Linked DNA regions of Canis lupus familiaris. The protein of the gene in region 1 binds, or shares a complex with, the protein of each later gene. Links are inferred from orthologs where the notes say so. Each region holds a gene or a part of one and is shown in the gene's direction. Other genes may lie near its edges.

The links.
Region 2: CUL3 (region 1) and KBTBD8 share a complex: the UniProt entries of both Homo sapiens proteins name them as parts of the BCR(KBTBD8) E3 ubiquitin ligase complex. The link is inferred for Canis lupus familiaris from reciprocal best matches to the Homo sapiens genes CUL3 and KBTBD8.

The regions. Positions count from the first base shown.
Region 1 is NC_049246.1:38,009,266-38,013,740, reverse strand, and holds the start of CUL3 (cullin-3), read left to right. Parts: upstream 1-1,631; 5' UTR 1,632-1,646; coding exon 1,647-1,718; exon of another isoform or gene 1,719-1,887; intron 1,888-1,898; exon of another isoform or gene 1,899-1,919; intron 1,920-4,475. UniProt on the Homo sapiens protein: Core component of multiple cullin-RING-based BCR (BTB-CUL3-RBX1) E3 ubiquitin-protein ligase complexes which mediate the ubiquitination and subsequent proteasomal degradation of target proteins.
Region 2 is NC_049241.1:24,616,775-24,621,204, reverse strand, and holds the start of KBTBD8 (kelch repeat and BTB domain-containing protein 8), read left to right. Parts: upstream 1-1,359; 5' UTR 1,360-1,500; coding exon 1,501-1,516; intron 1,517-1,766; exon of another isoform or gene 1,767-1,993; intron 1,994-2,158; coding exon 2,159-2,369; intron 2,370-4,430. UniProt on the Homo sapiens protein: Substrate-specific adapter of a BCR (BTB-CUL3-RBX1) E3 ubiquitin ligase complex that acts as a regulator of neural crest specification.

The DNA.
Region 1 (4,475 bases):
GCCCACTACCGTCCGGCTCCGGCTCTCAGGACTCGCCCCGCCCCCTCCGCCCACGTGACCGGGACCCCTCCCACCCCGCGCCGCGCTCCACCAATCAGCAACCACCTCCGCGCCGCCGTCGCTCCCCTTTCAAAAAGGCAGCTTTCTCCTCCCGCCTTCAGCCCCGCCCCTCACCCAACCTCCCCGCCCCGCTGGCCACGCCCACTCCCCCAACTCCCCGCTCCCCTCCTCCCCTCCCGCGGACCCCGCCCGCTCTCAGGCTTCGCCCCGCCCCACCCGGGGCAGCGCGCTCGCCCTCGTCTCGCGAGATCTCGGCGTCCCCGCCCCGCCCCGCCGCCGCGGCCGCCCGCCTCCCCCTCCCGTCCTCCCACCCCCTCCCCCCGATCTCTCCACTCTCCGGCTCTCCTCCCTCCCTCCTCCCCCCTCCACCCTCTGGGCCGGATCTCGTCTCGTCGAGGCGGAGGAGGAGAAGGAGGAGGAGGACGTTCGGCCTGCGCAGTGAGATGTTTGTCCGTCGCCGCCGCCGCCGCCATCGCGGAGGAGCGCGATAAAGGGAGCCGAGCCGGGCGTGAGGGGGACCCCGCGGAGGCGCCGCGCCAGCGCAGCCCCCCCAGCCCAGCCCCGCCGCAGCCCGAGCCCGAGCCCGAGCCCGAGCCCGAGCCCGAGCCCGAGCCGCCGGAGCCCGAGCCGCCGCGGCCGCCCAGGGGCCGGCCCGCTCCCCAGCCCAGCCCGGGGGCCGCGCCGCCGCCGCCGCCGCCGCCGCCGCCCCCCAGCGCAGCCCCTCGCCGGCCCGCCCGCCTTAAATGTGACACCGGCGCCTCGGAGTGCGACCCGAAGCCGCCGCCGGGGAGGGGACGAGCACCATGTCGAATCTGAGCAAAGGCACGGGCAGCCGGAAGGACACCAAGATGCGGATCCGGGCCTTTCCGGTGAGTCTCTCCTCGGCGCCTGGGACCCCGGGGCCGGGGGGCCCGGCGGAGAGCCGCACGCGAGGCCCGGGCTGAACTCCCCCAACAGGCCGCAGGCCCGGCCTCCCCTCCCCCACGCCGCCGGCCGCGGGGCGCGAGCCTTCCCGGCCACGGGGCGGGCGGCTCGGGGGCCCCGGCGCCTCAGGCCGGCGCCGCGCACCCGCCCGGGAGCCTCGGGCCGGCGGCGGCGGGCGGGCGGGCGGCGGCTGCTGCGGCTGCGGCGGGGGCCCCTGGGCCGGCCCCTTCCCACGTTCCCGGGGGGTAGGCCCGGCCCCCGGTGCTCCCCTCCCTGCCGGCGCCCCGGGACCACCACACCCGCGGGGACGGGGACTGTGGAAGTCTTCCGTGTGTGGGGGGGCGTGTGTGGAACTTTTCACGTGCGGTCTCAAAAATAACCCGGCCTCAACCAGGGCCCGCCAGACCTTTCGGGGGGTGGAGGGGGCTGTCCTGTGCCTCCGCAGGAAGGGGGCTGGCCGCCCACCTACCCGCCCCCCGACGCAGTGACCGTGGCTCCTTGCACTGCTCGGTAGTAACGCACGCACCTAACCTCGTCAGCTGTATTTATAGCCTCTTTCATCCACAGGCGTCCAAAAGCACTTTACAAACTCTTCTTGTGCAGGAATTGGCCTCGCCACTTGTAGGAGGGTCAAGGGGAAGCCAGAGAACACACGCTGGACAATGGCCTCTCCAGATCTTAGCCGTGGAAGCCCAGCAGGAGGGGGTCGTCACTGCCCCGAGTTGCTCTACGCTGTGGGTTTCAGCGACAGCAAAGGCTGCTCTGTTTAGAAACTTTCTTTTTTAGCGTTACGTTGAGTCATACGCTGGCATTATTTAGTGTAGAGAGTGTAACTTGGGATGCCATACCTGATTCAGATAGCCCATGGCAAGCAATTAAAGTGTACTGTTGTAACAGAAACTGGACGTTCTTGCCTCACGTCGCTACGGTAACAGGTATATGTCAAGAAAGGCAAACCAGCAGTCGAACGGAAGGTTTTGTTTTTTTTGTTTTTTTAAAAAAAAAAAACAACAGTAAAACTGGGGAAAGATCTTGAATGTCTTAGAATCCTACACACGTCATATTTTGGGAAGGGGGAAAAGGTGGGGTTTGTATTCACTGTGGGAAGGCTTGCTTTTTTCTGAAGTGTGATTTGCAGTGAGGGAAGACACTAATGCAGAAGAGAACTAATGAAGTCTGTCAGCATGTTTTCTCTTAACAGTGAAGTGAGCTGGGCTTAGGAATTTTTGAGTAATGTTAGTTTTGCTACTAAAGCAGTTGTGAACATGTTTAGCAGGATTTCGAATTATTAAGAGTTTCAAATAGTTTTCTGTATAACAAGTTTTCTAGGAAAAATTTGCTATTCTTGAAGTCTGAGTTCTTCTAACTCAAACTTACTACTATAATGCGGCATAGCTCACATTTGACATGAACTCACTTTTGTTAATATTGCGATTAACCAGTTGTACCTTTAAGCGTGATTAGCTTTTTCGTCCATTTAGGTTTACCTCTTCCTACCTGGTCTTCATTCCCTCATTCGTTTAATGAAGACTGAGTACTGTGTGCCAGGCACTGTTCTAGGAGCTTGGAGTAAGTCAATACAGCTTGAAGACTAAAGATCCCTTCTTTCTGGATGTTGTATTTATTATTGGGAGAGGCAGGAAAGAATTTCATGATTCCTTTAGCAAAAGAGTATAGTATATGATAGGTTAGCACATAGTCCTGAAACTGATTTTTTTTTTTGTGTGTGTGTGTTAATGATTGTGAGCTAATTTGGATCTTTTCTGTCCACAACTTGTTGCCATCTAAGATTTTCTAATATTCTTTATTGAAGTTTATAAATGACTACTGTTTGATACTCAGTAGTTTAGTACCTGCTAATTTTTAAAAGCATAGTTTTTCAATGTTTCATGATTTATAATATTCGTAACAACTTTCTACTGAAAAGAACCTAGATTTTTTTTTGATTTATAAACTTCTAAGTTACAGTTTCTTGGATAAATGCCTCAGTGGTATGATATTTCACCGACTTACCCTTTGGTAAATGAGTCCTTATAGACCTTCAAAATTTCTCTTTTCTTACAGGTTAGCAGTCTTCTAGTAGTAAATGCATACTGTTCCATAAAGAAAAAATAGCGTTTGTATGTGGTACAGATGTACAATATTTATAGCTATATAGTATTTTGTATTAATCTTTGGACATGCATTGTAGGTACTGTAGTTTAAGAAAATTATAGTTTAACCAAAGGTCTCAGGTGCTCATTTCAGGATTCTGTTTTATAAAATCGACGTGTAAAAAGTGTAAAAATATGTTTTGAGATTGTTTTGTTTTCATTGCAAAACAGAGTGGTAAGTGAACTCACAGGCTATTCTATAAGATGTGTAAGCATATTCCAGATACAGACCCATCAGTAAAATCAGGTTCTTTTAGTGTTTTGAGTACATATTTTAAGTGTTCCTTCATTATTGTTCCCAAGAGTAAGTTATGCCATACCACAGTTTTATCTACAATTTGCATTTTAAGTAGAACTTTTCGTAAGATTTTAAGAGAAATTAGTTCTTTTTTAAGATGGAAAACAGTGAGGACTTTATGGATTCATAAATTGTTGATGGAGTTAAAGTTTATCCCAGCCTGAAAGCTTTCCTACACTGCACAAAATATGTCATTTCACTTTTTTTTTTTGGTACCCAAAATTAACAGCAAGGGGCAAAATTTTTTTTTTAAGGAAGGAAGCTGTAGTTGCGAAACTCTTGGAAGCTATATGGATTTGGATCAGAGTGCTGCCCCAAGAAGTTTCTGCTCTTCTTTCCTTGCTGTTGTTGAATGTCTCACTCCTGAGCTTTTCTTTTGTTCTGCTATGTAGAATTAGTTGCTGTCAGGTGAACCTTTTGTCCTTTATCTTCGAAAAGCCATTCCTCTCCATCTGTACTTTCCACATGGGTTTTGTCCACATGGGCTTGAAAAAACTTGATTGGATTGGAGGGGATATATTTGAATGAAAATGCTCCTCTCTCTTCTGATAGTCCCTTCTTGACTTAGCCTTCAGAGTTTAGAAGTCATATTATGAAAGTGATGGTCTTTAGAAGTGTGTGATCTGGAAGTGGTTTCAGTTATTATAGAGCATAGTCATGATGAAGAATCTCTGGTTGTGATGTCCACTCCATAATCCTAGATTGGCTTCTTGGAGCTCTACCTGTGTAGCATGGACAGTGAGTCATGTAGAGGTTATTGTTAGAGGGAAACCACAGAGTGGATGACAATAGAAGGAGATGAATTTTAAGATCATTTGTGATGTACTTAAGAACACAAGAGTTTAATGGTAATTGGGGACACTTAATTTTGTTTTTCCTAGCTGTGGTAAAATTTGCTAGATTTGGGAAAAAACAGCTTTGATCTTCATAATAGATTTCCTTAGAGAAAGTAACAGTTGCCTAGGATTACCTGGACTATATACAGGAAAGCTGAATAATAGTCTGAATAATAGTCCTGGAAATCAAACAGGGTGGGGAAT
Region 2 (4,430 bases), on another chromosome or scaffold:
TGCAGAGCCGTACAGACAGGGCTTACAGGGTACTCTCAGAGTGTAGACACAGTGTATATCAATGTTCATACACCCCAGCCCCAAGGAAACTTCAATTCTTGCTAATTTGAATGGAATTATAGCATATATATTTTTTGAGCTCTCAAGTTTTCAGCAGAGCTAGGAGAGCTGGGTTGTTTTTCATCATTCTCTCTTTCTCCATCACAACTTACAATCCAAATTCTTTTTTTTTTTTTGAGATTTTATTTATTTATTTATTCATGATAGACATAGAGAGAGGCAGAGACGCAGGCAGAGGGAGAAGCAGGCTCCATGCAGGGAGCCCGACGCGGGACTCGATCCCGGGTCTCTAGCATCACACCCCCGGGCCGAAGGCGGCGCTAAACCGCCGAGCCACCCAGGGGTCCCCATCTTTCTCCCAAAAAGCTTGCAGCCTATGAAGCAGACGGAATCCTCGTGGTGATTCGCATGGTACAGGTGAAGGCCCTGAGCGCTCAAGAATTAAAAAGTCTTCTCTACTTAGTAAGGGAGCAGCCAGGTCTTCAGGTTCGGAGCACCCTCCAATATTTCTCCAAAGGAAATCCCAGGCTCTCTAGCATCCTAACTCCTCCACTTCCCAGGAGCAGAGAGGAAAGCATCCCGAATCCCCTTGCAGCCTGCTTTCGCGCTCTTGCAAGTGGAACAGGTGTTCTCCGGGCGCTCGAGGAAAGCAAGGCACAGGTGGGAGTTAGAGACCTCGTGCAGACCAAATGAATCTGCAGAAACCAGAGCATTCGGCCGGTGGGGGGGGTGGGGGGGGGGGGCGATGCTAGATGCTATTTCAATTGGGTGTCACAGGTGACTCATCAGAGAACGGCTTGCTTTGGGGCCTCTTGATATTTTACTTCAGGGTGGAGTGTCAGATTTCCTCCGCGTTTTTGGACCACAGCCCTCTTGGCCAGGTCCTAATTTTTCTGGTTTCACAGCTCTCACGCAGAGCCCGTTTTCATACCGGAAGCTAGTTGCTGGCGAGAGGTTTGGGGAATGAAGAACAAGGTGCAAGGAAAAAAAAAAAAAGAGGAAAGGCGAGCCAGGGGCCTGGAGAGAGGCCTAAAATGGGGAAATTTGCACTTGAAGAGCTTTCCCTACCCTAGCCCCTCAGAATGACAGCTCTACTCAGCCAGAAGACTACGTTTCCCGGCAGGCACCGCGCGCCCCACAGACACAGGCTGGCGAGTTCCCAGCTCTCCACCTCCGCCGCAAGCAGCCAATAGAAACCACCGGCGTGGGCCTCCGCCCTTCTCGGACCACGCGGGAGCGGGGGCAATAAAACTACACTTCCCGAAGCGCCTAGCGCGGGTCGTGGCCAATCGGAGCGCAGAACTCGGAGGCTGGGGGCGGAGCCGGATGCCTAGGCCACCCCATTGGCCAGGTGAAGCTTAGAAGAGCCGGAACCCGGGAGCTGGAGAAGCGAAATGACATTTCCTCTTTAAATAGCTGGAGCCGGGGCCCCGTCGAGAAATGGCCGCGTCGGCAGGTGGGTCGTGCGGTGGCTAGGGAGGTGTGTTGCGGGGGGGGCGCGCCGGGGTCCCGGCTCAGGCTGCGAGCTGGGGAGGTGGCGCAGAAGAGGCGTGAGGGAAGGATGGGGATGGGGAGGTGGGGAGGGATGAGGGGAGGGAGGATGGATGGGTGGCGTGGAGGGCGGTGGGCGGTCCGGCCGGGCAGAGATGGGGAGGCCGGGTACCCGCCGCCGCTCCGACCGGTGCATCAGGCGGTTGAGGGGGTTGAGCGGCGGCCGCCGTCCTTCGAGCTTCCCTCGTGAGGCTCCTGCTCCGCCGCTCCCGGCCGAGCCGCCGGTGCCGCCTGCAGGTCCCTCCGCGAGCACGGGGCAGCGGGCTCGCCGGGCTCCCGCAGGAGCGGAGGGTGTTGGACCCGCATCCCCGCGCCGTCTCCCCCGGATCCCACTCTGCGGCCCCACTGGGTGCTGTCTGTATACACAGATGTAGTTTTGGAGGTGGGGAGGATGTGTGGGGGGGGGTGGGGGGGAAGGGAGGGGGGAGGGGAGGGGGGGGGTGGGGGATGGGGAGCCTGAACGCCGTAACTGGCTCCGAACTTCTTGTGTTCGTTCGGTTTGTTTTTTTGTTTTTTTTTGTTTTTGTTTTTGTTTTTTTTCTCCTAGATTTGAATAAGGCCTCCCCAACGCCGAATGGGATTCCATCTTCGGACACAGCCAACGATGCCATGGACCCCTTCCATGCGTGCAGTATTCTCAAGCAACTCAAAACAATGTACGATGAAGGACAGTTGACAGACATTGTAGTGGAAGTGGATCACGGGAGAACCTTCTCCTGTCACAGAAACGTCCTGGCTGCGATCAGCCCTTACTTCAGGTATGACGATGATGGTATAGAAGCTTCGCTTTGCTTATCTTCACCGAGGTTGCCTTCATCGCTCGGTATTGCCCGCTTGATGATAAAAAACGGAGAGGAGACCATTAAATGAAACCCACCAGTTTGCCCCCTCCAAGTAAATAACAGGCCCTGCTCTATTGATTGGGCCCCTTGTTTTTGACTTGACGGATGCTTCTGGAACCCAGGTGGCTGGTTTGTACGTTAGTGAGTCTCTCTTTGTTTCTTTCGGGTAAATAACTGCAAAATCTAGACCCTGTGCTGCTCTCAGCATGGCAGCCACAAGCCACATGTGGTTATTTAAACGTCATTGTTTTAAATTGAATAAAATTAAGAATTCAGTCCCCCAGGCAAACTAACCACAGTTAAAGTGCTCAGTAGCCGCATGGAGGTAGTGGCTGCCAATTGTACAGCCCCAGATATAGAGCATTTCCATCACTGAAAGTTTTAGTGGACAGTGCTGGTCTAGAATTTGTTCCAAGAATTTGTCCGTGAGGCACAGTTCCCTGGTGCCTGTAACTCTTAGCATTTAAAGCAAAATAGTGCTTTCTTTCGAAAATGAATTACCATTCAGTAGGTGGTTTTAATGCCATTGGGGTAAAAGCAATGAAATAAAAATGAACGAATGCATCTTAAGGCTCCAGGCTAATGATTATTTCCATGGTTTCCAGAAGCGTTTGCGGGTTTTCATTCTCATTACGCTCTTTGTGTATCCGAAAGTTGGAACAGCAATATTTCAAAACTTGGGTCTAACAAAGAATTTTATACTTTTAAGAGGAGAACACTGATAAAGACAATTCCCGTCTTGAGTTCAACTTCTTTTGTTTCAAGTGCTCACTTTTTAAAGTCCTTCAGTGTTCAAAACTGGTGCCCGAATGACAGCTAGATAATCTCAACTACACTCTAAAGGTGGTTTGTTGCTGTTGTTGTTTTTTTTCTTCTGAAGGTGCTTGCCTTTATAAGCATATAGCAGTATACTGTTCCAGGCAGTAGTTTCTGGTTCCTCTTTCTCAGAATACTGGGTTAAATATAGTCACTTCAGTCTGATGCTTGTGATGTAACCATTTAGACTTGCCTAGGGATAGGTCATTGGACTGTTAAGTATTAACCATCACAAGGGAGTGAGCTGGAAGGAAAAAAGAAGAATCTCATGCACAGAAGGTATGAAGTTTGGCCTGGTGAAGTTTGGACTGCTGGTGGGATTCACTTATCCAGACTATCTGTTAGATATGGTTAGTTCGTCTGTGCATTTAAATATATGTCATAATTAATACTGATCAAGTTCTGGGCTAAGCTTACTTTACATATATTGCTTTACATATCTTTACAATCCCGTCTTTACACAGTTATTCCCATTTTACTTATGAAAAACTGAGGTTCAGGGAAGTTAAATGACTGCCTAAGACCTCTAACGACGAAAGTGACAGAGGCTGGATTTGATTCTAGAGTCAGGCTTCATAGTCACTATTAAAACTTTTAATGAACAAGAGCGAGCGCCCTTTAAAGTTGCCTTTGAGAAGTTTCTATTGTATATTAGATTTGAACAGTTTTTAAAAATTGAAGCTTGAAAAGTAGGAAAATGTATCTTACTGAAATTTTATACTCTGGCTTGTATCATTTAAATGTCATACTTAACTTAAAGTTAGTTTGAAGACTTAGACAAATCACTTTAAAAGAAGTATGCTACAGTTGATTTTCTTAATTACAAGAAATTAAGGAAATGCTTGGAAAACTTTCTAAGCAATAAGATACATGGATTCAGATGAAGGTATTTGGCTGGGAAACTTAGGGATTAGGTTCTTATCTCTTGCTAGAGGTTTTTGTACAGAAGTTTCTTGGCACTGGTGCTGCTCCTTATGTGAGCCTCTAGGAAGACATACTTAATAGTTTCTGAGTCTTGCATCACTGGTGGAAAAAAATAAAAATAGCTTGAAATCTGGCATGGTTGTTTCATGGTCCCAGTGACTTGTCCAAATTAAAATTTGCATGATTATTGGAAACTTTCTGCTGCTCGGGATTGTGCGTGAGGAAGGTGCTCCATCT